4 linked regions of the Anolis sagrei genome follow. The main gene of each other region encodes a partner of the protein of the gene in region 2 in a complex. Links are inferred from orthologs where the notes say so. Each region holds a gene or a part of one and is shown on either strand. Other genes may lie near its edges. The genes, in order: TAF4, TAF11, TAF8 and TAF13.

Region 1 (7,899 bases), about 43 Mb from region 2:
TATTTTGATCTACCAACTCCACTTCTGAGTCTGTCCAGGGACTTCCAAGTTGCCCATTCTTGGTTTGCCCCTGGGAGGCCAGTTGGGATTGCCTGGTTTAGCTGCCCAGAGAGATGCTCTCGCTGTTGCTGGGGGAATATCATGAAACTTTTCCTTGATTTGAGGCTACTGGGAGGAGGCTGATAGTCATGCAGTGGATGGCTTTAACAGTGTTCAGCCTTATTTCTCTCATGATTGGCCACAACTTCCCATCACACATTTGGTGGGGCAGGGGGACAATAAGATCGAAGCGGTTTATATGGGGGAGGGAGATTGGTTTCATTGAGTAATTGATTTTAACTATTTTTTTTTACTTTGTATTGCATGTTTACATGTTGTAAGCAGCCAGAGGAGGGTTAGACTATTACTGTTTTCAACCTTGACTAGAACACAGCACCTTACTCTAGCTTGTTGGCGACTAACAAATTATACAATGTTCTTTAACTGCTTTAAAACTAATTAGTTTTGTTACTTTGTAGGTTTAATACATTTATATGTTTTATTTAATTATTTAAACATTGTATTTGTTATAATTTGTTATAGATGTTTTATCCATTTGGCTATTTGTTCATTTTGTATTGTTTTTATGGTATTGAATGTTTGCCATCATTTGCTGGAAACCACCCTGAGTCCCCTCATGGAGATCGGGTGGGTTATAAATAAAATTATTATTATTGTTATTATTATTATTATTATTGAGTCCACTTGCAGGGAAAGGTGGGGTAAAAATACCTTAAATAAATAATGCTTTAGTTGTGAGCCGCTTTGAGTCTCCATATGGAGAGAAAAAGTGGGATATAAATAAATATCATATAAACCAATCCCTCCCTAAAGAACTAAAAATTGCCTCCTCTCTCTTCTCCTTTAAAAAACTCATAAAAACCTATTTATGCACTTTAGCATATGGGGAGGAGGAGGATTAGTACATCTTAATTATATACTCTTGCTTAGATACTGGAAATCTACCTCAGCCCTGTTGGTTGCAGTAAACCACCCCATATTTTAATGCTCTGTAGCTGCTAAGTGTTTTATGTTGGTAAATGTGTGTAATCTGATATACTATGTTTATTTAACTTCTTACTTTTTGGTTTATTTATTTCGTATCAAAAGCATTGCATAAATTAGTATAAAACTGGGTGGGGCTTTCAGTGTTCAACCTACAGGAAACATACCCCCCCCCCCCCCCCCGGTTAGGTCAGATCCACTGGCTGCCGGTCCATTTCTGAGCATAATTCAAAGTGCTGGTCTTGGCCTATAAAGCCTTGTACGTTTCCGGCCCAGCTTACCTGTCCGAACGTATCTCCTTTGACGTCCCACCTTGGGATTTAAGATTGTCCGGGGAGGCCCTGCTCTCGGTCCCACCCTCTTTGCAAGTGTGTTTGGCAGGGACAAGGGACAGGGATGCTCTGTGGAATGTTCTCTCTAGCGAGAATAGGTTGGCTCTTTCCCTCCTCTCTTCCCGGAATAAAGGTATAACTCCCAGCAAAATGTCCTTACAAATGCACTTTAACCACTGGATTGCGTTGGACTGTGCCCCTCTCACTTTTTAAAACCCTCCTACAAGAAAGCAAAGTGCATAAGTGGGTACGACAGTTCAAAGATGGCTGTAACAACGTCCATGATGAGGATCGCTCCGGTCGCCCTTCTTTGATTACAGACGATTTGATCACACACTCAAATCTTTGGTTTTTGTGGTCCTCTGTTAGGAGTTTTGGGACCCAACGGGAGAACGGTTTCCTAAACTTTAGGTGTTCAGAAACAATGTTGTAAAGCACTGATCTCGACACGTCAGGATATTCGTTTGAGAGACCTGTTATTGTGAAGCGCCTGTTTTCACGAATCCTCGCTTCAACTGATCGTCTGTAATCAAAGAAGGGCGACCGGAGCGGTCCTCATCATGGACGTTGTCATGGCCATCTTTGAATTGTCGTACGCACTTTGCTTTCACTCATAACAGTATCACCGTACACTTCACAAATCTGTCGATGAATTTCTGCAGCAGGCAGGTTCCTTGCTGACAAAAACCGTATCACTGAGCAAACCTCACATGCGGATGGTGAGTTGATAGTCTTAAACATGTTTAAAGCACAGAACAGAACCGTACAGGTGAGCTACAGAGCGGAAACTGAGCACTGTTGTTCCCGAGGCATGCTGGTACACGACGCACGTGCTCGTTGCGGTATGCGCGCAAACTACTAGTGTCTACAACAAAACGGACCTTACTTTAAAAATACCCCTCGTATATAGCTGTGTGGAAGGGGCCGGAGTTTCTCCTTCCACATAGCCATATATCCCAAGAAGATCAAGGAATACCAGCATATCTGCTTTGAACTGGGTTATCTGAGTCCACACTGCCACATAACCCAGTTAAATGTGGATTATATATAGCTGTGTGGAAGTGGCCGGAGTCTCTCCTTCCACATAGCCATATATCCCAAGAAGATCAAGGAAGAAAATACCAGAATATCTGCTTTGAACTGGGTTATCTGAGTCCACACTGCCACATAACCCAGTCCAATGTAAGCTTTGTACAGCTGTGTGGAAGTGGGTTGTTGTAGGTATTTTTCGGGCTATATGGCCATGTTCTAGAGGCATTCTCTCCTGACATTTTGCCTACATCTATGGCAAGCATCCGCTGAGGTAGTGAGGTCTATTGGAACTAGGAAAGTGGGTTTATATATCTGTGGAATGACCAGGGTGGGACAAAGAACTCTTGTGTTGGAGCTAGGTGTGAATGTTTCAACTGACCACCTTGATTAGCAATTGATTGCCTGGAAGTGTCTGGAGCAATCTTTTGTTGAAAGGTGATTAGATGTCCTTGTTTGTTTCTTCTCTGTTGTTGTGCTGTTCTAATAGATAGATAGGGACACACAATTCACAGAAAGTTTCTTAGTATTGTCGAAGGCTTTCATGGCCTGTTAGAAGTAGGAAAATGGGTTTATGTATCTGTGGAATGACCAGGGTGGGAGAAAGAACTCATGTCTGTTGGAGCTAGGTGTGAATGTTTCAACTGAATGTTTCTTTGCCCACATGAAAGGAGGATGATGAATGGGATTGTGATGGTGTTGGACGATTTGGCTCTTTTAACTGTGATGATAATGTTTTAATGTGTATGGTGCTGATATTTTAATCGTGTTATGAAGTGGCATTGTGTTGTTATTGTATATTCTTTGTATGTTAACACATGTTGTGAACCGGTTCAAATCCCTCTTTGGGGGATGTCTGGCTGGGCAGGGCAGGTGGGACAAATTAAATAAAACACCTCGAAATAAATAAATTAACTGACCACCTAGCTCCAACAGACAAGAGTTCTTTGTCCCACCCTGGTCCTTCCACAGATATATAAACCCCTTTTCCCTAGTTGCAACAGACCTCACTACCTCTGAGGATGCTTGCCATAGATGCAGGTGAAACGTCAGGAGAAAATGCCCGAAAAAACCTACAACAACCCAGTGATTCCGGCCATGAAAGCCTTCGACAATACATTGTGTGGAAGTGGCCGGAGTGTCTCCTTCCACGCAGCCATATATCCCAAGAACATCAAGGAATACCAGCATATCTGCTCTGAACTGGGTTATCTAAGTCCACACTGCCACATAACCCAGTCCAATGTGGGCTTTGTACAGCTGTGTGGAAGTGGGTTGTTGTAGGTTTTTTCGGGCTATATGGCCATGTTCTAGAGGCATTTTCTCCTGACGTTTCCCCTGCATCTATGGCAAGCATCCTCAGAGGTAGTGAGGTCTATTGGAACTAGGAAAGTGGGTTTATATATCTGTGGAATGACCAGGGTGGGACAAAGAACTCTTGTCTGTTGGAGCTAGGTGGTCAGTTGAAACATTCACACCTAGCTCCAACAGAGAAGAGTTCTTTGTCCCACCCTGGTCATTCCACAGATATATAAACCCACTTTCCTAGTTCCAATTGACCTTGCTTGCCATAGATGCAGGCGAAACGTCAGGAGAAAATGCCTCTAGAAGATGGCCATATAGCCCGAAAAAAACCTACAACAACCCTTCAACAATACATTTTGTGGAAGTGGCAGGAGTGTTTCCTTCCACACAGCCATATATCCCAAGAAGATCAAGGAATACCAGCATATCTGCTTTGAAGTGGGTTATTTGAGTCCACAATGACACATACCCAGTCCAATGTGGGCTTTGTACAGCTGTGTGGAAGTGGCCGGAGTGTCTCCTTCCACACAGCCATATAAACCCAGATCAGCTTCATTCGGGATCCCAGTTCAAAGCAGACCATGTGGGAGAGGCCGGGGCCTCTCCTCCTGTCCTTCAAGGGCAGGAAGAGAGCCAAAGCGGGCGGCGAGGCCTAGTTCCCTCAGTGAAGCGCCGGCGTCGAGTAGCTCCAAGTCCCCGCCGCCAAGCTCCTCCAGCCCGGCGAGAGCGGAACAACAACAACAGCAGCAGAGGCCACCGCGGCGGAGACTGCAGCCATTTTGAGTTTCGTCAGAGACAAAGAACGACTGCGGCGGCGGCGAAGGAGGCTGTCAGACTGCGGGGTCTCTGAGTCGGCGACGGCGGCGACCACTCTTTTGAGTCCTCATTTCTCTTCCTATTTAAGACTAGGCCGCAGCCGGGCCCGTCGCCTGACTAAACCCTGGGAGCCATTTGCGCCCGCTTTTATACCCAGCCGGCGGCCAATCAGAAGCGGGCGGAATCCCTCTCCTCGCGCCGCGCGCATGCTCAGTGGCGGCACACCGAGGGAGACAGAGAGAGAGAGAGAGAGAGAGCCGGGAACCGCGTATGTGTAAAATGAGTGAGGAAGGGAAGGGAAGGGGAGGGGGGAGGAGGGAGGAGGGAGGAGTGAGCGCGCGCGAGAGGGAGGGGGGAGGAGGGAGGGAGGGAAGAAAAAAGATGGCGGCGGGCTCGGATCTGCTGGATGAGGTTTTCCTGAACGCGGAGGTGGATGAGAAGGTGGTGAGCGACCTAGTGGGCTCGCTGGAGTCCCAGCTGGCGGCCTCCGGGCACCACCGAGGCCACCACCGGCCTCCCGAGGGACTCCGGGCCGCCGCCAACGCCGCCACCGGGCAGCTGCTGGGGAACCATGTCGTGAGCGGCGGCGGAGGAGGCAGCCCCAGCCCCGGAGGAGGAGGCGGCGGAGGAGGAGGGGGAGGCAATGCCAGTGGCCAAACAGGGAGCCCCGGCACCACCACCTCCTCCTCCTCTTCCTCTTCCTCCTCCTCCTCCACAACCACTGCCGTCACCAGTAACGCCGCCAAGATGGGACTCAGTGGCCCAGAGACCACCAAGCCAGGTAACCTGGGGAAGGGAGAGGGAGGAGGGCCTCCTCGCCTCCCCTTCTCCCCTCTTGCCCTCCTCTCTTGCCCCCTTGCCTGCCTTCCTCGCTTCCTTCCACCCAGCTTCTCCTCCTTGTTGTTTTGGTCGCAATGGGCCGCCAATGTTCAGGCATGGGCCAACTTGGGCCCTCCCTCCAGGTGCTTTGGACTCCCAACTCCCACCATTCCTAACAGCCCCAGGCCTCCTCCTTTCCAGGAAGGGGCCTGAGGGTGTTAGGGATGGTGGGAGTTGGAGTCCAAAGCACCTGGAGGGCTGAAGTCGACCCATGCCTGCTCTACAGCCTCAGAGTCTGAATTATTCTTCCTCCTTCCCATACTCTGTTACTGAAGTGTCAGAAGTATGGGTTGATATTCATTACAACACCAGTTTCCCCAAAAGACCTGAAGTGTCAGGAGTAGGGGTTGCTATTCATTACAGTTTCCCCCAGAAGAGGAAGTAATAGGGAGGGATTGAGGGGCAGGGACCTGCTTAAAACTATGATAATCATAATCATAATAATAATGCCTTCTCTTCAGCCTCAGAGTCTGAATTATCCTTCTCTCCATTCTCTCTTGCTGAAGTGTCAGGAGTAGAGGTTGCTATTCATTAGAGTTTCACCCAGAAGAGGAAGTGATGGGGAGGGATTGAGGGACAGGGACCTGCTTAAAAGTATAATAATAATCATAATAATAATAATCATAATCATAATAATAGTGGGCCAAAGTTGGCCCATGTCTGCTCCACAGCCTCAGTGTCTGAATTATCCTTCTCTCCTTTCTCTGTTGCTGAAGTGTCAGGAGTAGGGGTGGCTATTCATTACAACACCAGCGTCCCCCAGAACCTGCTTACAAGTATAATATTTATAATAATACTGGGCCAAAGTTGGCCCATGCCTGCTCTTCAGCCTCAGAATCTGAATTATCCTTCTCTCCATTCTATGTTGCTGAAGTGTCAGGAGTAGGGGTTGCTATTCATTACAACACCAGTTTCCCCCCAGAAACTGGTGTTGTGATGGGGAGGGATTGAGGGGTCAGGAACCTGCTTAAAAGTATAATCATAATCATAATCATAGTGGGCCAAAGTTGGCCCATGCCTTCTATTCAGTCTCAAAGTCTGAATTATCCTTCTCTCCATTCTCTCTTGCGTGTCAAGAGTAGGGGTGGCTATTCATTACAACGCCACTTTCCCCCAGAAGAGGAAGTGATGGGGTGGGATTGAGGGACAGGGACCTGCTTAAAAGTATAATAATAATAATAATACTGGGCCAAAGTTGGCCCATGCCTGCTCTACAGCCTCAGAGTCTGAATAATCCTTCCTCTGTTGCTTAAACTAGGATAATAATAATAATGGGCCAAAGTTGGCCCATGCCTGCTTTACAGCCTCAGAGTCTGAATTATCCTTCTCTCCATTCTATGTTGCTGAAGTGTCAGGAGGTTGTAATGTAATGAATAAATAGGGGTTGCTATTCATTACAACACCAGTTTCCCCCAGAAGAGGAAGTGATGGGGTGGGATTGAGGGACAGGGACCTGCTTAAAACTATGATAATAATAAGAATGATAATCATAATAATAATAGTGAGCCAAATTGGCCCATGCCTGCTCTACAGCCTCAGAGACTGAATTATCCTTCTCTCCTTTCTCTGTTGCTGAAGTGTCAGGAGTAGGGGTGGCTATTCATTACAACACCAGCTTCCCCCAGAACCTGCTTAAAAGTATAATATTTATAATAATACTGGGCCAAAGTTGGCCCATGCCTTCTCTTCAGCCTCTGTGCCTGAATTATCTTTCTCTCCATTCTCTCTTGCTGAAGTGTCAGGATTAGGGGTTGCTATTCATTACAACACCAGTTTCCCCAAAAGATCTGAAGTGTCAGGAGTAGGGGTTGCTATTCATACAGTTTCCCCCAGAAGAGGAAGAGATGGGGAGGGATTGAGGGTCAGGAACCTGCTTAAAAGTATAATAATAATAATAATAATAATAATAATAATAGTGGGCCAAAGTTGGCCCTTGCCTGCTATTCAGCCTTTGAGTCTGAATTATCCTTCTCTCCATTCTCTCTTGCTGAAGTGTCAGGAGTAGAGGTTGCTATTCATTACAGTTTCCCCCCTTCATTACAGAAGAGGAAGTGATGGGGTGGGATTGTGGGACAAGGACCTGCTTAAAACTATGATAATAATAAGAATGATGATGATAATAATAATAATAGTAATAGTAATAATAATAGTAATAGTAATAGTAATAGTGGGCCAAAGTTGGTCCATGCCTTCTCTTCAGCCTCTGTGTCTGAATTATTCTTCTCTCCATTCTCTCTTGCTGAAGTGTCAGGAGTAGGGGGTTGATATTCATTACAACACCATCTCCCCCAAAAGACCTGAAGTGTCAGGAGTAGGGGTTGCTATTCATTACAGTTTCCCCCAGAAGAGGAAGTGATGGGGAGGGATTGAGGGACAGGGACCTGCTTAAAATTATGATAATCATAATATTGGGCCAAAGTTGGCCCATGCCTGCTCTTCAGCCTCAGAGTCTGAATTATCCTCTCCATTCTCCGTTGCTGAGGTGTCAGGAGTA
Region 2 (7,789 bases):
ATGGCAATAACCACATTCTGAGAGACAGAGGTTCCAGTAATTGACTGGATCAACTGAGAAAGGAGAAAGGATACAAAATCCAGTTTTATAAATGTGCATTTGTAATTTTTAAATCTTATACATCCTTATGTAATAACAATCCTAGTAGCTGCATCACTGACTGGGATAAGTCAAAATGACAGATTTTATCCAGTCAAAACACTGCATCTACATTCTTCATATTACACATAGTGATCAAATCAACAGGCAAATCTAAAACAGTTCAAACCAGACTAAAGCACAACCTTACCCGTTTAATAGCAGCCTTCGGAAAAGCTGATCTACGATACATCTCATAGCGATTTAGCTGTTCTTCAGAAAAAGAGGAAACTAGTATTCTTGAGGAAAACAATAACAGCATGGAATTAGAGACATCATTCGATCTACAACTGGTAGCACACTTAAAGCTACAGGAAGCACACAGCTTTGGAAGTCAGAGACAATACCATAACATAATTCCTATTGATAAAAGAATGGATTGACTCCAGACTTTGTTTGCATCAATGGTAGCTCTGACGCATATTCCATTATGAATGTTCCTGCTGATTGGGAGAGGGAAGCATCAGTTTCACTAATTTCAATTTTATTTCCTCCAGTGCTCCCAGGGATATCTCACACCAGGAACCAAACTTTTAAGGGATGCACAGACTGCTACTGCAGACAAAGGAATATGCATGCACTGGCTTTCTGGATCCAGTCCCGTAAAAATAGTCTAAAAGGGACAGGAATGCATATCAATAAATTAATTTAGGAGTAATTATTACATACTTATTTGAAATAAGCTTTTCCATCTTTATGGGGGGGAAGCATAGACAAAGAGGTTGCAAGCCCCATCAAGTGCTTAATAGCGTGTATCTCCAATAAATAACAGCGCGAAACAAAAAAGTACAATATTGTTCACTAGCAAGTTTAGTCTTCTACAGGTTATTAGGAACAACGAAAGTTATGCATCAGGTAAAATAAGAGTACTCACTGCATTTTTTGAATCTCATCTTCATCAACTTTATTCTTTTTATCTTTTTTATCTTTTATCTCTATTTTTACTTTCTTGCTTGCAGAAGATGTTGACTCCTCTGTCTCTCCTGTGAGCAGACCTACAGAATCCTCAGTTCTGATCTAAGAAGAAAATTATTTTCAGCTTAGCTATAATCCTAACATAGTTCTTAAATGTCTAACCATAACTCATGACAGAACTTATAAATCATAGCTGATAAACACTAAAAAATTCAATTTAAGAATCTGTCTTAAATGGGCAAAACACAAAGATAGCATTCTTCTGGCAGAATGGCAGGGCCAGGTCTAACTGGGAAGTGTGTGTGTGAAGTAAAGAGCCAGCCTATTACAATTACAGAATGCTGTGATGAGAGACTTGTAGTGGAAAGGAGAAAATATAGATCATTGCTTCTTAAACTGTGGGTCCTGACCCCAAATAAAGTCAATTTTGGGGTGGCAGCAGTAAAAGGTTCTGAATACCACCGATTTACACAAAACTGTTAGCAACAGTGTTTACAGTGGATTCCGCTGAAAATGTTTCAGCTATACTTTTCAAAAAGTAAAATCATTCTGTTTAGCAAGCCTTGCAAATGCTGATTTATTATCAGTAAATGTGTAATTTTTATACCTATTTTATATACCTATATACCTGGGATCGCATAAAAATTATCAGACAGAAAGGGGTTGCAAGTGGAAAATGTTTTAAAAGTTCTGATGTAGAGGCTTGTCTGTTAAAGAGCCGGGGTCCTTCAGAAACACAGGAATATGGATAAAACTCAGGACCTTGTAGAAAGAGATGGATTCATAAAATTGTAATAGGTTTTAGGGAGCTGAAAGAGTTGTAAAGGTTCAAGGAGAAATGACTTTCTTTGAACTAGAGGTGGTTGCCCTTTTATCACTGATCACCCATTCACTTGCCCAGTGCAGTGGTCTCCATGAAGCCTCAGTATCAGGTCCTGGGAGGGAATCTTTAAGGTAAAAGGGCAAGATGAGTGACAGAAGCTCAAGGTATTGTCGAAGGCTTTCATGGCTGAAATCACTAGGTTCTTGTGGGTTTTTTCGGGCTATAGGGCCATGTTCTAGAGGCATTTCTCCTGACGTTTCGCCTGCATCTATGGCAAGCATCCTCAGAGGTAGTGAGGTCTGTTGGAAATAGGACAATGGGTTTATATATCTGTGGAATGGCTGGGGTGGGGCAAAGAGCTCTTCCCTGCTAGAGCTAGGTGTGAATGTTTCAACTGACCACCTTCATTAGCATTTGAAGGCCTGCCTGAGCCTGGGAAAATCTCAAGGGTTTGAACACGACATCAACCTGAAGAGGGGTTCCATCACAGTGTGCAATCCTCCATTCTCCATGCAGCCCCTTTCCTTTGAATTTGCAAAAACAGTTCTGGGGGGTGACACAATTTTCAGATAACACAGGGCACATCTACACTGACCATTTAATGCTGCTTCAAACCAGTATTGAAAAACGTGGTTTTGCTGTGTAGATGGTTGCTTAGGAGATCCTGGAATGAATCTGAAGCCTGCATGATGATGACACAAAGCACTGATGCACCTTGAGGGCTTTATTTTGCACATTTTTTGTGACAGTTTGTTATCTCTGGCCACCAGTTTGAAGGGGCCTGAGGCTGTGAGGGATGGTGGGAGTTGGAGTCCAAAACACCTGGAAGGAGAGCCCAAGTTTGCCCAGGCCTGCTGCAGCATAAATGCGGCCTGCTCCCATTAGAACAGCCTTGGCTCAAAGCTGAAAGATCATAGAAGGCCCTCCCCTCCCTTCCCACCTCTCCAGGCGCCGCTTCCCGCTCCTTCGGCTCCCCGGGGCCCTTCTCCTTCCCGTCAGCCGCCCCCGCAGCAGAGACAGGCGGCTCCTCGCCCGAAGTCGCACCGGACACAAGCACGGCTTCTTCTCTGCGAGACACCGCCGGCTCCGCCATACTGGGAAAGGCCTCTGTCGCGCCCTGATGACGTCATCGCAGCCGCCTTGCCCTTTCGTTTCCTTGGCAACGGAAGAAGCCAGCCCAAGCCTGAGCTCTCATGGAAGCAACTGTGTCCTTACAGCACTGCACTGTATGGATTTGATGCCACTTTTAACGGCATTGGAATCTGGGAGTGGTAGTTTGGTGAAGTCCCACCACTCTGAGGCAGAGGAGGATAAAAAAAATTGCAAATCTACAACTCCCATAAGTTCATAGCATTAAGCGGTGTCAAACTTCACTAATTCTACAGTGTAGATGTGCCCCAAGCTGCAGCCCTTCTCCGAAATGCTTGGGATCAAAAACATTTCTATTTTATTTTTTCAAATCCTAGAACTGGAGGAGACCTCGTGGGACCTCGTGGGCCATCCATTCCAACCCCCTGCCAAGAAGCAGGAAAATTGAATTCAAAGCACCCCCAATAGATGGCCATCCAGTCTCTGATTAAAAGCCTCCAGGGCAGAGGGTTCCATTGCTGAACAGGTCTCACAGTCAGGAAGTTCTTCCTAGTGTTCAGATGAAATCTCCTTTCTTGTAGTTTGAAGCCATTGTTCCGTGTCCTAGTCTCCAGGGCAGCAGAAAACAAGCTTGCTCCCGCCTCACTGTGACTTCCCCACACTTATTTATACATGGTTATCGTGTCTCAGCCTTCTCTTCTGCAGGGTAAACATGCCCAGTTCTTTAAGCCGCTCCTCACAGGGCTTGTTCTCCAGACCTTTGATCATTTTAGTTGCCCTTCACTGGACACATTCCAGCTTGTCAATATCTCTCTTCAATTGTGGTGTCCAGAATTGGACACAGTATTCCAGTTATGGTCTAACCAAGGCAGAATAGAGGGGTAGCATTACTTCCCTGGATCTAGATGCTATACTCCTATTAATGCAGGCCAAAATCCCATTGGCTTTTTTTGCTGCCGCATCACATTGTTGGCTCTTGTTTAACTTGTTGTCCACGAGGACCCCAAGATCTTTTTTACATGTACTGCTCTCAAGCCAGGCATCCCCCATTCTGTATCTTTGCATTTCATTTTTTTTTCTGCCTAACTGGAGTATCATGCATTTGTCACTGTTAAACTTCATTTTGTTAGTTCTGGCCCATCTCATCTGTTAATATCGTTTTGAATTCTGCTCCTGTCTTCTGGAATATTGGCTATCACTCCCAATTTGGTGTCATCTGCAAACTTAATTATCATGCCTTCTATGCACAAAATATCTTGAATATGGAACCTGATTAAACAATAAATTCATTTGTGTTTCATATACACCATATACACATAGGCCAAAAGCAATTCTACACACAATATTTTTGTGCCTTGAACAAAGTTTGTGTACATTGAACCATCAAAAAGCACAGCTGCCCATACGGACAATTTCGGCATGTTTCATATTCCAGAACTTTGGATAAATGATGCTCAACCTATTTTGTTTGTATTATCACTGTCCAAGGAGATGTTTTAGTTGTGTATTTGAGAACTTCCTCAATACTGAGGTGGTCAGGATTCAGGCACGCTTTGGTATGTTTTAAATTAACACACATGTGAGGCATGGTTTTCTACCATCTTTCTTTCAGTTGTAGCCTTCAGTGAACAGAAATGTCGAAACAACAGATATGAGGGGCATTCATTAAAGATTTTCCCTGACCCACTTCCTGTGGACTGAGAGCAATCAAACTTGACACAGTTATTAGTCCTTCTCTACCTAGACCCAGCGAGAGGATACCTTATGCATGTGAAGATGGTCTTGGGAGATTTTTTCCAAAGACTCCACAATAATCTTGACATATCAGGCTAGGTGGTGAATGGCAATTTTCCAAAATGGTGACCTCCACTTGCTGGATGATGTGTTCATCAATAGCAGAATGGGTTGTTCCTAGAGTTGGAGCTGTTTCCACCGAAGTCTGACCACATCTGAATTGACGATGCCAGTTCTTGACTACCTCATATGATGGAGAATCATCACCATAAACCTTTTTCATCTTATTTAACGCCTCCTTTGGTATGCAGCCTTTCAAGTAAAGGAACTTGAGGATTGCTATGTATTCCACTGGGTCCATTATCAAACCTCACACCACTTCAACACCTGTAAAATCAAGACTGTTATCCGTTCTGAGGTGTAAATTGGCACAAACGTATAGAGACTTATATCATTACACATGTGCAGTTTCAGCATCCTGTGATAAATAGAAGAGGGTTGGGGAAATCTTTAATGGACACCCCTCGTATGTATGAAAATCAAAGGCATGCAGGCACTTGGGTCTATATAGCCTCAGAGTTGCTAATATTATTAAATCTCTGGTGAAAATCAAATATTCTATTACTTTCCTAAAAGCATGATAGCTTTTGTGTTGTCGAAGACTTTAGTGGCCGGAATCACTGGGTTGCTGTGAGTTTTCCGGGCTTTATGGCCATGCTGCTGAAGCATTCTCTCCTGACATTTTGCCCACATCTGTGGCAGGCATCCTCAGAGGTTAAGGGATACATTGGAAACTAGGCATGAAAATTAACAAAATCTGGCTAACAGTATTTTAAAAAACCCTCTAAAATCAGGACAGTAAATAAAGAACACCACTCTGAAAACAGGGGAATTCCAGACAATACTCCATCAGGTAACACCACCCAACAAAAGAATCCCCCAGGCAGCAATCAGCCAGGCATTGAAGCTGCCAGGCCATTAAATGTTACTCAAGGTGGCCATTTGCAACATTCACACCTACCTCAAGCAGACAAGAGTTCTTTCTCCCACCCTGGACATTTCACAGATATATAAACCTCACTTGCCTAGTTTCCAACAGATTCCTCAACCTCTGAGGATGCTTGCCATATGTGTGGGTGAAACGTCAGGAGATAATGCTTCTGGAGCATGACCATACAGCCCAGAAAACTCACAGCAACCCACAACAGCTTTTCTTCACATTCTAGATATGTGGAGAATTTGTTTACAACTGACTATAACAAGAGGGAGGGGAGCAATGGCCAGCACATACTTGTCTCTGAAGCATACTTCAGATGTGATAGCAATCTAGCCTAACTTGATGAACCTGTACTGAAAATTTCATTTTCAGAGCCCTGTTTAATGTTGTTTAATTGACATCAGCAAAATGAGCTCAAGAGAGCCTGTGTTGAGGCACCTGCACTCTTTGGCAGAGTCCCAGGATTCTATAGCATGGAGCCATGAGAATTAAAGTGCTATGGAACTGCATTAATTTGACAGCATAGATACACCCTACATCTGACAAGATAATGGGCTATATTAAATTGTTAGTACTAATTAGAGTACTCCCAGGCCCCTTCTACATTGCCATATAAAGTCCAGATTCTCTACTTTCAACTGGATTATGTGATCGTGTAGATTCATATAATCCAGTTCAAAGCAGATAATGTGATTTATCTGCTTCGATAATCTGGATTATATGACAGTGTAGAAGGGGCCCCAGTACATCAGCTGCTGGATAATAAATCAACACATATGTTAGTCCCACTGGTTCAATGGGGCTATTCTAGTTGGAACTAATTTGATTTAGTGCAATGCTTTCAAGTATGAGCATGGTGTAAATAGTATAGGAAAAGAATACAGGAAATCACACATTGACATATTCCAGAGTTCAAGTAATAATGATAATAGTAATAAAAATTATAAATTTCTTATTACTTGTATCTCTTGATGGCTCGAGGCGGGATACAACATAGTCAAAAACATATTAACATAAAATATATAAAATAAACAATTTTGATCAAACACACACACACATATATAAAACTTGCACCAGACACAGATACAAAATTGAAATATTGCAGCAACAGAATGCAAATCAGAACTTATGATTGAAGGTTGATTGTGCCTTTGAGTTCAAGCTACCACTTCCAATACATTTGCAGTAAGTAGAGGGGAAATTAACTGCAGATGCCTTTATCCATCAAGTCAACTCACTGGTGAAAGAGTTTAGTATGTTCCCTACCAGGAGAACCAACACCATCTCAATGTGACATGCCATTTATTATTTCAGTGGGCAAGGTGGGATAAATACTTAGTGAAGAACCTGTTGGATATATTGAAGCTAGTAACATTTTTTAAAATGAGGGTTGGTATAACTGCTCGGCATGTACATTAGTTTCTGTCCAACTGTTGCTTCTAATCAAATAAATGTTGCAACACTTGTAATACTTCATAAATCCGCAGAACCTGTTTGACCAGAAATGGAAGAGCAAACTAAATTAGCATGCACATCATCCTAGCATATTCAGCTGTATTAATTCATGTTTTGTCTCATTTCCTGTGTTTTGAAAGGATGGATTCAATTTTTTTAATATCTCATGCATACTAAAGGAATACCAGACTCCTGCTATATGCTGTCATCATACACAGTACCTCCTTCCCCTTTTGAATTTATGAGGCATCTGGTTCACGTCTTCACATAGGTGTTCAGAGAGGTAATTGCATGTGATTGGTCTCCATCATAGAAATACCTACTACATCCTCTTGCCTTCAAGGGCACTGTCCATCATTTACACATTCCTGATACAATATCCTATTACCATAGATGCACAGAAGTGAAATTCGCATCACACACTTACAAGCCAGCTAAGAGGCCCATTGTCCTACAACTGAAGGAGAAGCTACACATTAGTAATGCCCTAATGACAGATGAAAGATAAGAAAAGACAAAAGTGGGTGGACAACTTTGTTAACTGCAACATTTGTTCATCATTCTAGACAATTGTGCCAAATTAGATTGTTGTCAGCAGCGTTCTAATGAAGATCTCAGGCAAAGTCTTAGTTTCAATC
Region 3 (7,967 bases), about 1.8 Mb from region 2:
GACACATTAGGAAGACAACAAAACTGGGGTGAGCAAAGTGTGGCTGTTGGGCATCATGCTACCATCAAGGCTGTCCTTGAAAGCCTCAGCCCTTTCGGATTCACCTAATTACCTTCTTCAAGAGCTCTTGGAAAGAATAAAATGCTTCCAGGGGAGGCAGGTCAAGTTTTAATCAAGTTGTGGGGGACTACATTGCATAACATTCAAATCTGACGACGTCTGGGTTTTGGAAGAAGTCATTTGTCATTATGTGGGTTTCTGTTATTGTTTTGTGGGGGGAGGTTGGCAGTCCTAGGGACAGTCTCACCATAGTTGTCACTAGACCAAATCTCACGTACGTGCAGTGATCACCATCCTCTGGGACCGTTTGGCATACGCAGGGAGCGTTTCTACATTGAAACCTGAAACACACAAAAAGAGGAAAAGTTAAAAGCAATAATATCCAGTCTGTTGGCATCTGTATATAATCCCATTTCTACCTGACTTCCCAGCGTTACACCCATGTAAGATAAAGGCACTCACCCATTTCAACTAAGGTGACGACAATATCAGAAAGGGTTGGCTGAGTCCTTGCCGTATGTTCACAGACAGACTTGGCGCTCCTCCCTATTTCTGATATATCTGTTAAAACAAAGATCACCACGGAACTGAGATTTGAAATATATATCCTTCATTCTCTCACACTCCCCCCAAAAATCCTTTCCAAAGTCCTCCCTAAATGCAAGACAGGCATGGGAGATCCAAAGGCCAAATTGTACATTTAAATCACAAAACAGAACAAGATGCCCATTTCATAGATAGGCAAGAGGAGTAAATGTACAAGCTACACATACCACACACAAAAAATTTATGCACATGCATTATAACAAAAGCGCTGTATATCTACTAAAGCCATCACATATACATCCAAAAATAAATAAATTCAAAAACATACAAAGCACACTACTAGCAAAACACATACAAACACATTTAAAAGAAACTCAAAAGAAAGGTATCCCAAACCCACATACATAATGGTAACTTAACTCAACTATTGTCATTTGGGATACCAAATGGTGAAAAGACAAGCTAGTTGACTAAAGAAGCGATGATGAATGTAAATTCAAAATATCTGTTATTGATATCTAAAAGAATGGTGATTTTAAACTAAGGAAATGGCACTGTCTTTCTAATGTAAGCCATCATTTGGGGGCTACTCACAGCTCTGGAGCATCTCCGTCATGGTTTCCACAGCGGCCTTCTCTGCGCTCTCAAACCCAGCCTCTGTCAAGAGAGAGCTGACCACCACCTGCAGGGTCCGCCTTCGAGCCAAATAATAGTTATCCGCAGGAGTCGTAGAGTGTTTACCACCTGAGCGCTTTTGGGGCAAAATCAACCAAGAAAATGCAGGGAATGGATGAAGGATGGACACAAAGGGGACTAACAGATAAATGTAGATTCTGCTTGAGTGAGGATTACTCTGAAAAGTATGCTTAATCATACTATACCATAAATTTTGTACTGACTTGATATTAAGACTGAAATACAACAATTAAAAGCAAATAAAGATAAACTTAATGCAAAATAACCTGGGTTTTTTCTTTTTCACTATATTATAAAAACAGATTTTAATTTAAAGTATAATTTCTTCAATTTTGTTGGTGGTTGCCTTCAAGCTATGTGTATAAGATGAAACCTAAATGGATGTTATATTGAGATGCAAGTCCAATCTCCAAGTACAGAGCAGCAAAGATATGCTTCCAGCCCAAGCAGGGATTGGTCCACATTGCAGAAATATAGCAGTTTGACACCACATTAACTGCTACAGATGAACTGGGTTGTTGTAGGTTTTTCGTGCTGTATGGCCATGTTCTAGAAGCATTCTCTACTGACGTTTCCCCTGCATCTGTGGCAGGCATCCTCAGAGGTTGTGAGGTCTCAAACCTCTGAGGATGCCTGCCATAGATGCAGGCGAAACGTCAGGAGAGAATGCTTCTAGAACATGGCCATACAGCCTGAAAAACCTACAACAACCCAGTGATTCTGGCCATGAAAGCCTTTGACAAAATGATCAAGGGCCTGGACTAAAATGATCAAGGGTCTGGAGAACAAGCCCTATGAGGAACGGCTTAAAGAACTTGACATGTTTACCCTGCAGAAGAGAAGGCAGAGAGGAGACATGATGGCCATGTATAAATATGTGAGAGGAAGTCACAGGGAGGAGGGAGCAAGCTTGTTTTCTGCTGCCCTGGAGACTAGGACGCAATTGAACAATGGCTTCAAACTACAGGAAAGGAGATTCCATCTGAACATTAGGAAGAATTTCCTGACGGTTCAGCAATGGAACTCTCTGCCCCAGTGTGTGGTGGAGGCTCCGTCTTTGGAAGCTTTTAAGCAGAGGCTGGATGGCCATCTGTCGGGGGTGCTTTGAATGCAATTTTCCTGCTTCTTGGCAGGGGGTTGGACTGGATGGCCCATGAGGTCTCTTCCAACTCTGGATTCTATGACAATACATTGCTATGGATGTATGTTATAAAATTCTGAGATTTGTAGTTTTGCGGGACATTTCCCGTGTGAGAGAGTCTGGTGCCACAATCAACTACAACTCTCACTTTTCCATAGGATGGAGCTATGGTAGTGACAGTGGTGTCAACCTGCGACCATTCTGGGCCACCCACATGGGCCCAGATGGGTCCGAAGATGATTGGCACCTGCCCCAGCCAACCAGGGCCAACGGAGCTCGACCAATCAAGACCCGCCCGCCTCCCCTGATTCTCCAATCCGAAGCAGGCCCTGCCTTTCGCTCTTGGGCCTCTACGCCTCGTGTTGAGGGCCCAAGGCAGAGGCCCTGGCCCACGAAGAAGCCCCCTTCGACCCAGAAAACAAAGAGGGAAAGGAGAGAGAGTCGCGCCCTCAGAGCCCCGCCCTTACCGTGCCCGAGCTGCTACCAGATCCACCGGTCCCTGTGTCGGCCATCTTGGATCCATGGGAGGATGCGAGCATGCGCGCCGGCGAAAGGGATTCTGGGGATTGTAGTTCTCAGAGTGGGGCTTGTCCTTCTCATCCTGTGTGTTGCTGCTGAGTGGGAAGGGAGGGAGGGTTCGCCTGCTGCGCTGGGAGAATGAAGTGAGAATCTGACCACGCCTTGGGCCTTCTCTGCCTCACCAAGCAACATCACTCCATAGATGGCAGTTCTAGTGCTGCCAAACTGCATTAACTCAATAGTGTAGACCAGGCATGGGCAAGCTTCGGCCCTCCTGGTGTTTTGGATTTCGACTCCCACCATTCCTAACAGGCAGTAGGGAGTTGGAGTCTAAAACACCTGGAGGGCCAAAGTTTGTACATGTAGATGCACCTATAGAGGGCAGGGCAAACCTTGGGCACTTTTCTCACACATCCTATCCTTCCTTCTCTCTTTCCTTCTCTCCCTTCCACCCTTTCGTCCTTCCTTCCTTCCCTCCCTTTTGTCTTTCCTTCTTCCTTTCCTTCCTTCCTTACCTCCCTCTTTCTTTCTCCCTCCTTCCTTCCCTTCCACCATTTCATCCTTGCTTCCTTCCTTCCCTCCCTTTTGTCTTTACTCCTTCCTTTCCTCCCTCTCCCTTCCTCCTTCCTTCTCGTTCATCCTTCCCTCCCTCTTTTCTCTCTCCTTCTCTCTCCCTCTTTCTCCCTCCTTCCTTCCCTTCCACCCTTTCGTCCTTGCTTCCTTCCTTCCCTCCCTTTTGTCTTTCCTCCCTCTCCCTTCCTCCTTCCTTCTCTTTCATCCTTCCCTCCCTTTCTCCTCTCTCCTTCTCTCTCCCTCTTTCTCCCTCCTTCCTTCCCTTCCACCCTTTCGTCCTTGCTTACTTCCTTCCCTCCCTTTTGTCTTTCCTCCTTCCTTTCCTCCCTCTCCCTTCCTCCTTCCTTCTCTTTCATCCTTCCCTCCCTCTTTCCTCTCCTTCTCTCTCTCCCTTTTTCTCCCTCCTTCCTTCCCTTCCACCCTTTCGTCCTTGCTTCTTTCCTCCCCTCCTCTTTCTCTTTCCTTCTTCCTTTCCTTCCTTACCTCCCTCTTTCTCCCTCCCTTCTTCCTTCCCTTTCACACTTCCCTCTTTCATCTCCCTCTTTCTCCTCCTTCCTTCCCTTCCACCCTTTCATCCTTGCTTCCTTCCTTCCCTCCCTTTTGTCTTTCCTTCTTCCTTTCCTTCCTTACCTCCCTCTCCCTTCCTCCTTCCTTCTCTTTCACCCTTCCTTCCCTCTCTCCTTCTCTCTCCCCCTCTTTCTCCTTCCTTCCCTTCCTTTTGTCTTCTCTTCTCTTTCTTCCCTCCCTCCATTATCTTCCATTCTTCCTTTCATCCTTCTTTCCCTTCTGTCCTTCTCTCTTTCCTTCCCTCCCTCCCCTCCTTCTCCCTCCTTCCTTCCCTTCCACCCTTTCATTCTTGCTTCCTTCCCTCCCTTTTGTTTTCCTTCTTCCTTTCCTTCCTTACCTCCCTCTTTCTCCCTCCCTCTTTCCTTCCCTTTCACCCTTCCTTCCCTCTTTTCTCTCTCCTTCTCTCCTTCCCTCTTTCTCCCCCCTTCCTTCCTTCCCTCCCTTTTGTCTTTCCTTCTCTTCCTTTCCTTTTGTCCTTGCTTCCTTCCTTCCTCCCCTCCCTTTTGTCTTTCCTTCTCTTTCTTTCCTTCTTCATTTCCTTCCTTACCTCTCTCTTTCTCCCTCCCTCCTTCTTTCCCTTTCCCCTTCCTTTCCCCTTTCCTTCTCTCCCCCTTTCTCCTTCCTTCCTTCCTTCCTTTCCTTTTGTCTTCCCTTCTCGCTTTCTTCCCTCCCTCCATTCTCTTCCATCCTTCCTTCCATCCTTCTCTTTCCCTTCCTTCCTTCCTTCCTTCTCTTTTTCCTTCCTCCTTTCCTCCTGGAGAAGGGGAGGTTGAGAGGGAGCATGAGAACCATGTTTCAAGATTTACAAGTTGTGATAATACAAGTCCCTGTTTGCATTACAGAATCTAAGGTTAGACATTGCTTGAACTGCCCTGGCCCAGTGCTATGGGATCATGAAAGGTATATTTTTACAGTGTCTTGAGAATTCCCTGCCTCACCAACCATAGCATTGAGCCAGGGCAGTTAAAGTGGAGTCAAATTGCGTTAATTCTACAGTATAGATGCATGCTGTGTTTCTCATTTGTCCCTTATGAAACATTAAGATTCATTGCTGGCAATTTGATAATGTTTCTAATCCAGCCCACAGTGTTCCAATAACTGTCTCATTCTTTGGAAATTTCTACATCGGATTTGTAAATCAGTTTTAAAATGTTTGTAAATAAAGAGCCTGTTTTGGTTTTGTCTGAGCATCTGGAGAAGCTGCAATGCTTATTTGTTGTTATTTTCAGAGCTGCTTCTAACACTGTGTCTTCTCCCATTTCACTTTCTTTTTTTCTATGGATGATTATTGTACTGAGGACAAAAACATGTGTGCGTTACAGTCTGCAGAACAGGAAACCCACATCTTGTAGCCCCTCTGATCCCCATTTCCTGCCCAAGCACAATACATGTGACAGACAGTATTGTTCCAACCAATTACACTGCTGAAGTATAGAAATGTAAACAACCGTCAGAAGTCTGGAAATTAAAGGTCTTCGGTTGTGTTGATTTAACTCACAGTGCCTATTTCAGCAACACGACTTTCTGGCAATGGTGCTTGGAGAAAGGGAAAATTAACTAAAATAAATTAAAATTCGGGAACATTGCATTGTTGCTTTTTTAAAAAGTGTCATCAGAGAATTGAGCTTCTTGATCATCGACAATGAGGTAGGAAGCTACTTTTTTGATGTTTTTAAACAAGGTCAGTAGCAAGTTCTTGTCCTGTGAGAATAGCCCCAGCAAGGAAGGGCTGAAATGAATGTGTGAAAATGTTTCCTGTAGAAATTCCACAAGATTCATGCAGTCATATGAGTAATGTAGAGTGAATATGGATTTCACCACAACTTGGTCCTGGATAAAATATTTAATGTATGTGGTTAGAGCCAGACTTCCACAGAAATAATTAATTAAATTCCATTGCAAAAATTCGTATGTGGGAGTGGACAGGAATTAATCTTCTGGCACCTTGAAATTAAAGGGGGGGGGGGGGATAGCATATGCTTTTGTGAACTACATCCCACTTCATCAGATGCATGGATTGTTGTTTTTGTATTTGGGAATTGTTGCTGAGTAAGTTCCTATATGATCCTAACTGGATTTAGATGTTAAAGAAGAGCACTATTTATTATACATGTTTTACATGTGCCCATTAGATTTGCCCCAAACTTGTCCTTCCTCACTTAGGCACTTCTACACTACCATATAAAGTCCACATTATCTGCTTTGAACTGGATTATATGGCAGTGTAAACTCATATAATCCAGTTCAAAGCAAACACTGTGGGTTATAGGCTTTGATAAAATGGATTATATGGCAGTGTAGAAGGGACCTTAGTTTTGCTCTACTAACTTTTGTGAATATTTTTGGCAGTCTTGAAGTGGCTTCTGTTGTTCAGAACATGTACACATAAACGATTCTGACCAGTGATATGAGATCCTGGGTGTAGGTGCTACTGCATGCCCCTCCACCGGGTGCATCTCTACTGTAGAATTAACACAGATTGGCACCACTTTAACTGTCACGGCCCAGTTCTATAGGATCATGGGGGTTTTCATTTGTTGAAGCACTAGCACTCTGGCAGAGAAGACTAAAGATATTATAAAACTACAACTCCCATGAACCTATAGCATCAAGCCAGGGCAGTTCAAGTGGTGTCAAACTGCATTAATTCTACAGTGGAGATGCATCCTATCTTGGTAGGTAAATGTAGCAAGGTTCTCTTTGTAGTGACATCCTAATTATGGATTTCCCTCCCTGGAGACACCTTGATGGCTCCATTCAACTTGAGCTACCAACAAAGAACCAAGACAGTGCTACTTCAGCCTTGATCCTTAAAACCATCATAGTTTTGTCTGATTGTTTTAGCTAGATGTGTGTGTTTGCATGTGTTCAAAACTGTTTTGGAAAAAATATTTGTTAGAAGAGTGTTTTTCTTTGTATTTGTTCTTAAAAACCATCAAGTTGATTTCAACTTATGGCAACTCTATTAATGTTGCTGTAGTTACTTTCAAGTAATTTTCGACCTATGGAAACTTTAATGCGAACCTATCACAGGGGTTTCTTGGGAAGATTTGTTCAGAATCGGTTTCCCATTGCCTTTCTTTGAGGCTAAGAGAGTGTGACTTGTCAAAGGTCATTAAGTGGTTTCCAGGGCTGAATAGGGACTTCATCACACTAGAGCAAAAGATATGAATGAATTCCTATGCACACTGCACATATCTTATTTATAGTGCAAAAAAAAAAACAACAATACAATAATTTGGAGAAATAGTCAGGAGGAAATTAAGAACAATTTTAACAAATATAAACTTATTAGTATTTCAATGGAAAGTGTGGGCCTGATTTTGGCTGATGAGATAGGATTGTTGTTATTATTGTGTGCTTTCAAGTAGTTTCATACTTAGGTTGACCCTGAGTGAGGGCCGGGTAAATGACCTTGGAGGGCCGCATCCGGCCCCGGGCCTTAGTTTGAGGACCCCTGCACTAGGACATGGATCTACTTCAAATCTGGTTTCTGCCTCCTGCAGAATTCTGGGTTTTGTAGTTTAGTGAGACCAGGACCCCTCTGGCTTAGCAGTTTAAAGGCTCCTCCCTAAACTCCCCAAGTCCCAGAATTCTGCAGGGGGCAGAAGCTGGTTTTAAAATGGATCCATGCTAGTCCATAAACCCAGAGTCACAGTTCAATGTTTAAACCACTATATCATTCTGGCTCAATGAGAGACCTCCACATTTCTCTGTTAACAACAGTCCTGTTCAAGTCCTACAAATCTAGCATGACTTCCTTGTATCTGTCCAATGAAAATGTGGTCTTCCTATTTTTCTATTCCCTTCTATTTTATCAAACATCCTTCTATTTATTGTCAAAGGCTTTCATGGCCGGAATCAC
Region 4 (7,202 bases), on a different chromosome or scaffold from region 2:
CCTTCCACCTCCCTCCGGCACATGGCAAAAAGCATGAGGCAGAGGCGGTTTCGGCCCTCTTGGCCCCCTCACAGCGATCCGACTGCCATGAGGGGCCACGAAACTCCACCTGCTGAGGGCCCAGAGGGCCACCTCTCCATGCGATTTTTACCCTACTGGCCTGCGTCGGCGACGCAACCCTGCCCCATTCCGCCAGTATCTTCCCAAAAGATGTTTCTGATGAAGCAGGACGTTTGATCCCAGAATAACATGCGCCCATCTCTCTTGATAGCCCCACACTGAAGTGGCTAATCAGGGTAGCCCCCCCAACCGCTGGCAAGCTAGAGCCTGAACGGTCCCCTAGCAAGAGAGCCCGAGGCGATCAGCCCTTGGCAGCTAGGCAGTCCGAAAGGGAAGGGCTCCCTCTCCAGCGTAGCTCCAGCCAAGGCCGCAAAAGCGAGCTGAGTTGCTATTCTGGACCTCAAACGTGGATGTTCGCTACCTCCCGCCAGGAATTTGTTACCGAGACCTAGAGAATCCCTCCCCAGTGGGCCGACTCCGAAGCTGGTTCAGAAAGCCTAGAATCCCCTCCCACCTGGCAGCCAAGGCAGCCCGCGGTTGGCTTCTTACCCGTCCGGACGTTTTCTTCCCCCCTTTCCGCGTCGGTCGCTCCTCTTCCTGGAAGTCCTTAGATCAAGGCTTCCCTGGCGCTCCTTTGTGCTGAAACCCTAGGTCAGAGCTTGGGAGGAAGTGGCTGCGGGAGAATTTGTAGTTTTGGTTAGCTGGTCAAATGAAAGTCCGAATTGGGAGAGGCGCCTCTTTTCCCAAGCCGTTCCTCCTTCGCTGCTGGCCCAAAGAATCAGACCAAGGCGCCTGCTTGAGAATTTAGGCTATAATTTAGTCTGGAACCTCAAGCAGCAGTCCCTTCGTGGTAAAGCCAAATGATATCGAGCTCCTTTTTTGGAGGGTTCTCCCAGCGAGGGGGAACCCTGGAGACCTCTAATGGGGTCTTGACCTTGGCGAGCTGCCAGCAGAAGCCAATCCAAAGCGCACAATATTAAGAATTAATCTCGCCAGAGGCTGAAGAGGTACCCAGCGACCGAAGCGTTTATTTAGCGATTCAGCTGAAAAGGATGCATTACAGGGATATTTCCTCAAGTAAGCATACAGTACAGTGATTTTCAGGCATATTTATACAGACAGAACAAAGGAATCCTGGCTTGAATCTCCCGCCCGCCTCCTGTCAGTCCCCTCTGTCCTGGTTGGCCGGCTCTGGAACAGCTGGGAGGAGGCTTGGCCGCTGGTCCCACCCTCCCTCCAATCGCCGGCCGCTGTTGCCTCCAGAGGGCCAATCAGAGCCCTCGGAGCGCCTCCAGAGATTGTCCAATCAGCGGCCAGGAGGCGGGCTCTAGTTTGACAGCGCAGAGGGGCGGAATGCCTGGGAGGCGACTGCCAGCTGATGGAACACCTTTTGTCTCTTCACGGCAGGGAGGCGGATGGGGAGAACAAGGGATTTCCTGGGTCTTGATAAAAGATGTGTATGAGCAACAAAGGGAGGCTATGGATGGTGTCTGGATCTCAACCCTGTAGGCAAAGGAGATCCTTTGACACAAGGGAGCATACACAAACACCATAATTGATGCAATCAGTCTGTTTATCCGGGCTTCTGGCTGATAAAATCTCTGACTTTTGTTTGTCTGAACTCTGAAAAACAAAGCCATAGATTCGCCAGTATTTTCCATGCAATGTCAATATGAATGGAGCTTCTTCCAAGGAAATTGGATTTCCTTAACTGTAATCCCCTGGTCACATATTCTTTTGTAGGGCAAAGTTCAAGAGGGGAAATGCAAGGAAAGGGTGAGGGTACATTTCATCACATTTCATTACATATTATACATATTTCATATATATTTTCTTCATAGGCTTTCATAACTCATAGATTTCATAGGAAAGATCCCCATCCCGTCCCAGCAAAGTTTATTAGAAAACCCACAGCAATTAATAAAGGCAATCATCAGAGTCCCTGAAGTATTATTCTTTGCACGAAGGCATGCACCCACAGGCGGGGGCCATGCTTCTCAAGCGGCTGGTTTGGAGTTCATAGAGGAAGTCCGTGGCGCTAGGGCACCAAGTCAATCAGAGAAGGCAGAAAGATCCGCAAAGAGTCCGCAAATGGTGGAGAGTGGGGCAATGTCCTTTGGAGAACTACATTTCCCTGATCTTTGGGCCAGGGTCCAGTGCACAAGCCAGAGAATTCACAGAGAGGAAACAGGAACCCAGTTATGTGTGCTGGGTCAGGAAGCGGCAGAATCCATTGTCTGGCCCTTGGCGAACTACAAATGCTTGGGGGGGGGGATGCTCTGCATCAGAATCACTGGGTTGCTGTAAGTTTTCCAGGCTGTATATATCCGTGGAATGTCCAGGGTGGGGGAAAGATATACAAACCTCACTTGCCTAGTTTCCAACGGACCTCACAACTTCTGAGGATGCCTGCCATGTGGGCAAAATGTCAGGAGAGAATGCTACTGGAATATGTCCATGCAACCTGGAAAACTCACAACAAAGAATGGGAATATATCTGAAAGCACTTACGTGAGACCTGAGCGCAATGCCAAAGGATACAGTTTGTTGTGTAGAGGCCAGCCCATAGCATCCCTAATTAAACATTGTATTATTATTGTAGCAGAACCTGGGGAAAAATGACTGTTGTTGGAAATGTTAACAGAACTCTGTTGGCCTCTCTTCTTCAGAGGCCAGAGCAAGGAAATACTGTATAAACTAGGCCTACCTCAATACCCGTATATTTATTTATTTAGTTTAAGGATCGCTCTCAGAATCCCTTGATTTTGCAACTCAACTAAACAGATAAGCTATTTGCTTATTCCAAAGCCGAGGGGCCACCATGGTGAAGGCACTCTCCCTTGTCCCCACAAGTCGCGCTTGCGCCTCCCCAGAGGATCGAACAGGTCGTACAGGTTCATAGAAGGAAATATGCATGGAGCCTTAGGTAAATATAAAAGTTTCCCCTTGACATTAAGTTTATTTAGGTAAAGTTTTCCCCTGACATTAAGTCCAGTTGTGTCTGACTCTGTGGTGTGGTGCTCATCTCAATTTCTAAGCTGAAGAGCCGGCATTGTCCGTAGACATCTCCTAGGTCATGTGGCAAGCATGACTGCATGGGCCACCATTACCTTCCCGCTGGAGCGGTACCTATTGATCTACTCAAAATCAAATCAATTGATCTACTCACATTTGCATGTTTTCGAACTGCTAGGTTGGCAGAAGCTGGGGCTAACAGCAGGAGCTCACCCCACTCCCCAGATTCAAATCGCCGACCTTTCGGTCAACAAGTTCAGCAGCTCAGTGGTTTAACCTGCTGCACCACCAAGGCTCCATGGGACCTTACATTTGCTCTTTAATGGGAATGGAGTATTTATTTATTTATTTATAAGTTTTGTATACTGGCCTTCTCACCTCTCTTGAGGGACTCAGACCGGTTTCCAACCATAATATCACATACAATCAATAAAACATCATAATACATATTACAGTAAAACATTAAAACAGCAATTACAATAAATAACTATAATGGTTAGTCGTCACACTAAAATCGTTGCTCATCATCCTCCATCCATATCTCAGGGTGTTGGCTCACTCGTCGAATGCCTGTCTCCATAACCAAGTCTTCACCTGTTTCCTAAATGTCAGGATAGAAGGGGCGGTTCTGATCTCCAGTGGGAGAGAGTTCCAGAGTCTAGGGGCCACCACTGAGAAAGCCCTGTCCCTCATCCCCACCAGACGCGCTTGCGAGGCCGATGGGACCGAGAGCAGGGCCGCTCCAGACGATCTTAATAATCTTGATGGTTCATAGGGGAGAATACGTTCGGAGAGGTAAACAGGGCCAGAGTCGTTTAGGGCTTTGATAAGAAAATAACCTTTGATAAGAAAATAAATGTAGGCCAATATTACTAGTCCTTTTCCCATCCTGAGCCATGGCAGTTAAAGTGGTATCCAATGCCCAATAAGTCTACAGTGTAGATGCACTGAAGTATGGCTTTATGAGAGCAGTGAGGGAAAAGTACTAGATGGGGTCCAAAGGCCTAGTGTTCTAAACAGAGCCTGACACCTCTGGAGAAGGGCAATGTGAGTGATAAGTGCAGCTGTGGCTGCCTTTCTTCGCAGGGCGCATGCTCAGAAGTTCTTCGTGAAAGGACCAATCGCAGCGCGGGCGGAAGTGCTTCCTGATTGGCCGGGACAGTGGGACAACATTTCCGTCGCTTCCAGGAATCATGGCGGACGAAGAAGAGGATCCTCCCGTGAGTGAGGAAGACAGGGGCTCAGTTTGGGGCGAGAATAACATTGTTTTTAGACTTCCTATCCTTCTTGGATGCCCTTTGGGAGGCTGAGGGGGACACTTGCTGCCTTCAGAGCTTCCCTAATTCATGGCAAGACCGTGGGTGCATCTACACAGTAGAATTGATGCAGTTTGGCACCACTTTAACTGTCATGGCTCAGTGCAGTGGAGTGCTATGGTTTGTAGTTTGGCTAAAGGCCTTGTAAAACTACAACTCCCAGGATTGAGACGTGGCAGTAAAAGTGATGCCAAACTGCATTAATTCTACAGTATAGATCAGGCATGGGCAAACTTTAGCCCTCCAGGGGCGTTGGACTCCAACTTCCATAATTCCTAACAGCCCCGGACCCTTTCCTTTTCCTGAGGTTGTTAAGAATTGTGGGAGTTGGAGTCCAAAACCCTGGAGGGCCGAAGTTTGCCCATGCCTGGTATAGATGCACTCTGAGTATAAAATAGTTGTGATGTTGTAGGTTTTTTCGGGCTATATGGCCATGTTCTAGAGGCATTCTCTCCTGACGTTTTGCCTGCATCTATGGCAAGCATCCTCAGAGGTAGTGAGGTTACTACCTCACTACCTCTGAGGATGCTTGCCATAGATCAGTGGTTCTCAACCTGTGGGTTCCCAGGTGTTTTGGCCTACAACTCCCAGAAATCCCAGCCAGTTTAGCAGCTGTTAGGATTTCTGGGAGTTGAAGGCCAAAACATCTGGGGACCCACAGGTTGAGAACCACTGCCATAGATGCAGGCGAAACGTCAGGAGAGAATGCCTCTAGAACATAGCCATATAGCCCAAAAAAACTTAAACAACCCAGTGATTCTGGCCAAGAAAGCCTTCGACAATACATATAAAATAGATGTTAAAGCTATCTTGAAGCCAACAATTAAAATTAAATGATTAAATACAGTAGCTGAACTTAACCCCTGAAACCATCCACACTGCAGAATTATAGCAATTTTCCACCACTTTCACTGCTGTGTCTCCATTCTCTAGGATTTGTATTTTTTGTGGAACTGACAAAGAAAGGTAGATATCTCACAAAACTACAAATCCCAGAATCCCATAGCATTCAGTCATGGCAGCCAAATTGCTATAACTCTACACTGTGAATGTAGCTCTCTGTTGAACTTGAAGACCTGGAAATGTTCCGTTGGAATTAGACTGTGATGCTATAATAATCCTGTGCAGATTTTCCTTGGGGGAAATCTCACCCACTAATATGAAATTTATTTTGTACTAGGTGTATTTAGAATTTGCCAGTTTTGTCATTACAAACTTTAAACCATAGAATTATAAGAGTTGGAAGAGACCTCGTGGGCCATCCAATCCAACCCCCTGCCAAGAAGCAGGAAAATCCCATTGAAAGCACCCCTGACAGATGGCCATCCAGCCTCTGTTTAAAAGCCTCCAAAGAAGGAGTGTCCACCACACTTTGGGGCAGAGAGTTCCACTGCTGAAGAGCTCTCACAGTTAAGAAGTTCTTCCTGATTTTCAGGTGGAATCTCCTTTTCTGTAGTTTGAAGCCATTGTTCCATTGCGTCCTAGTCTCCAGGGCAGTAGAAAACAAGCTTGCTCCCTCCCCCTATTACTTCCCCTCACATATTTATACATGGCCATCATGTCTTCTCTCAGCCTTCTCTTTGGTAGGCTAAACAGCTCTTTAAGCTGCTCCTTATAGGGCTTGTTCTCTAGACCCTTGATCATTTTAGTCACCCTTCTCTGGAGACATTTGTTGGCTCATGTGGTATAGTTATCTTGAAAATATTTGTAAGAATTCTGTTTGATCAAAGCCATATTTAACTCAACATTTTCTTCTCACATTGGCCAACCTGATACATAAAGAAAGCCTACAGGCAGGACAGGAGCACAATAGCACTCCAAGGCCTGCTTTCCTCAACAGTTGGGACTAAAAGATCTTCCAGTACCGGTTGCCATTATTACTAATAGCCATTGGTAGTTTATTTATTTATTTATTTACAGAGTATATATTCTGCTCTTCTCACCCCGCAGGGGACTCAGGGTGGATTACAATGTACACATATGGCAAACATTCAATGCCAAAGACACACAACAGATATAGACAAACAGCCAGTGGCTATTTAACTTTTCAGTCGCCAGGGCAGCTGTCGCTTTAATCGTCCATCTGCGACACTTATGAAGTACTTCCGCATTCCCCGCATGCTTTTGCTGTAGTGCTTGCTGGAGTCCTTTTTATGGCCTCATAAATTAGTTAAATTAGCCTCCCCACACATAGGTGATACCTAATTTTCCTACTTGACAGATGCAACTGTCTTTCGGGTTGCAAAGGTCGACAACAAGCTACACAATTGGCCAGAAGTTCATTCCAACCCGGGCTGGCTTCGAACTCATGACCTTATGGTCAGAGGTGATCTTAATGAAGCTGACACTCAGACAGCTGTGCCACATTCCCAGTGTTCCATTCTTCGTTGATTTCTCTATTTCTGTTTTGACGCTGTTGTAGTTGGCAGCCATCCCTACATTTTTTCATAGTGAATGCATTTCTTTTTTGTCTAGTGTAAATGTCCTGCCATTCAGCTTTATTATATGAGTTGAGGTTTTATTTTGACAAGTGAAAGATAAAGCTATTTCCTATCTACTTTTCCCACAGCATACATATTTTTACATATTTATGATGTCTCCAACACCTTTATTTTATTTTTTAAAAACAACATTGCTTCATATGGGAGCATCTTTAGCCTTCTTATCATTTTAATGACTCCATTCTGCATTTTTTTTCTAGCATTACAGTATATCTTTTGAAGTACAATAAGGAGAAGTATACGTGATTCCCAGTGCATTCCCACTATAAATGTATATGGCACTGTGATATTGTTTGTTGTAGTTCTTCCT

What was found.
Region 1: TAF11 (region 2) and TAF4 share a complex: the UniProt entries of both Homo sapiens proteins name them as parts of the TFIID basal transcription factor complex. The link is inferred for Anolis sagrei from reciprocal best matches to the Homo sapiens genes TAF11 and TAF4.
Region 3: TAF11 (region 2) and TAF8 share a complex: the UniProt entries of both Homo sapiens proteins name them as parts of the TFIID basal transcription factor complex. The link is inferred for Anolis sagrei from reciprocal best matches to the Homo sapiens genes TAF11 and TAF8.
Region 4: TAF11 (region 2) and TAF13 share a complex: the UniProt entries of both Homo sapiens proteins name them as parts of the TFIID basal transcription factor complex. The link is inferred for Anolis sagrei from reciprocal best matches to the Homo sapiens genes TAF11 and TAF13.

The regions. Positions count from the first base shown.
Region 1 is NC_090024.1:232,167,395-232,175,293, reverse strand, and holds the start of TAF4 (transcription initiation factor TFIID subunit 4), read left to right. Parts: upstream 1-4,897; 5' UTR 4,898-4,907; coding exon 4,908-5,307; intron 5,308-7,899. UniProt on the Homo sapiens protein: The TFIID basal transcription factor complex plays a major role in the initiation of RNA polymerase II (Pol II)-dependent transcription.
Region 2 is NC_090024.1:189,429,069-189,436,857, forward strand, and holds the start of TAF11 (transcription initiation factor TFIID subunit 11), read right to left. Parts: upstream 3,004-7,789; 5' UTR 2,970-3,003; coding exon 2,817-2,969; intron 1,156-2,816; coding exon 1,013-1,155; intron 378-1,012; coding exon 290-377; intron 54-289; coding exon 1-53. UniProt on the Homo sapiens protein: The TFIID basal transcription factor complex plays a major role in the initiation of RNA polymerase II (Pol II)-dependent transcription.
Region 3 is NC_090024.1:191,185,469-191,193,435, reverse strand, and holds the start of TAF8 (transcription initiation factor TFIID subunit 8), read right to left. Parts: upstream 3,010-7,967; 5' UTR 2,983-3,009; coding exon 2,911-2,982; intron 1,358-2,910; coding exon 1,201-1,357; intron 622-1,200; coding exon 523-621; intron 402-522; coding exon 339-401; intron 1-338. UniProt on the Homo sapiens protein: The TFIID basal transcription factor complex plays a major role in the initiation of RNA polymerase II (Pol II)-dependent transcription.
Region 4 is NC_090023.1:40,844,001-40,851,202, reverse strand, and holds the start of TAF13 (transcription initiation factor TFIID subunit 13), read left to right. Parts: upstream 1-4,187; 5' UTR 4,188-4,268; coding exon 4,269-4,295; intron 4,296-7,202. UniProt on the Homo sapiens protein: The TFIID basal transcription factor complex plays a major role in the initiation of RNA polymerase II (Pol II)-dependent transcription.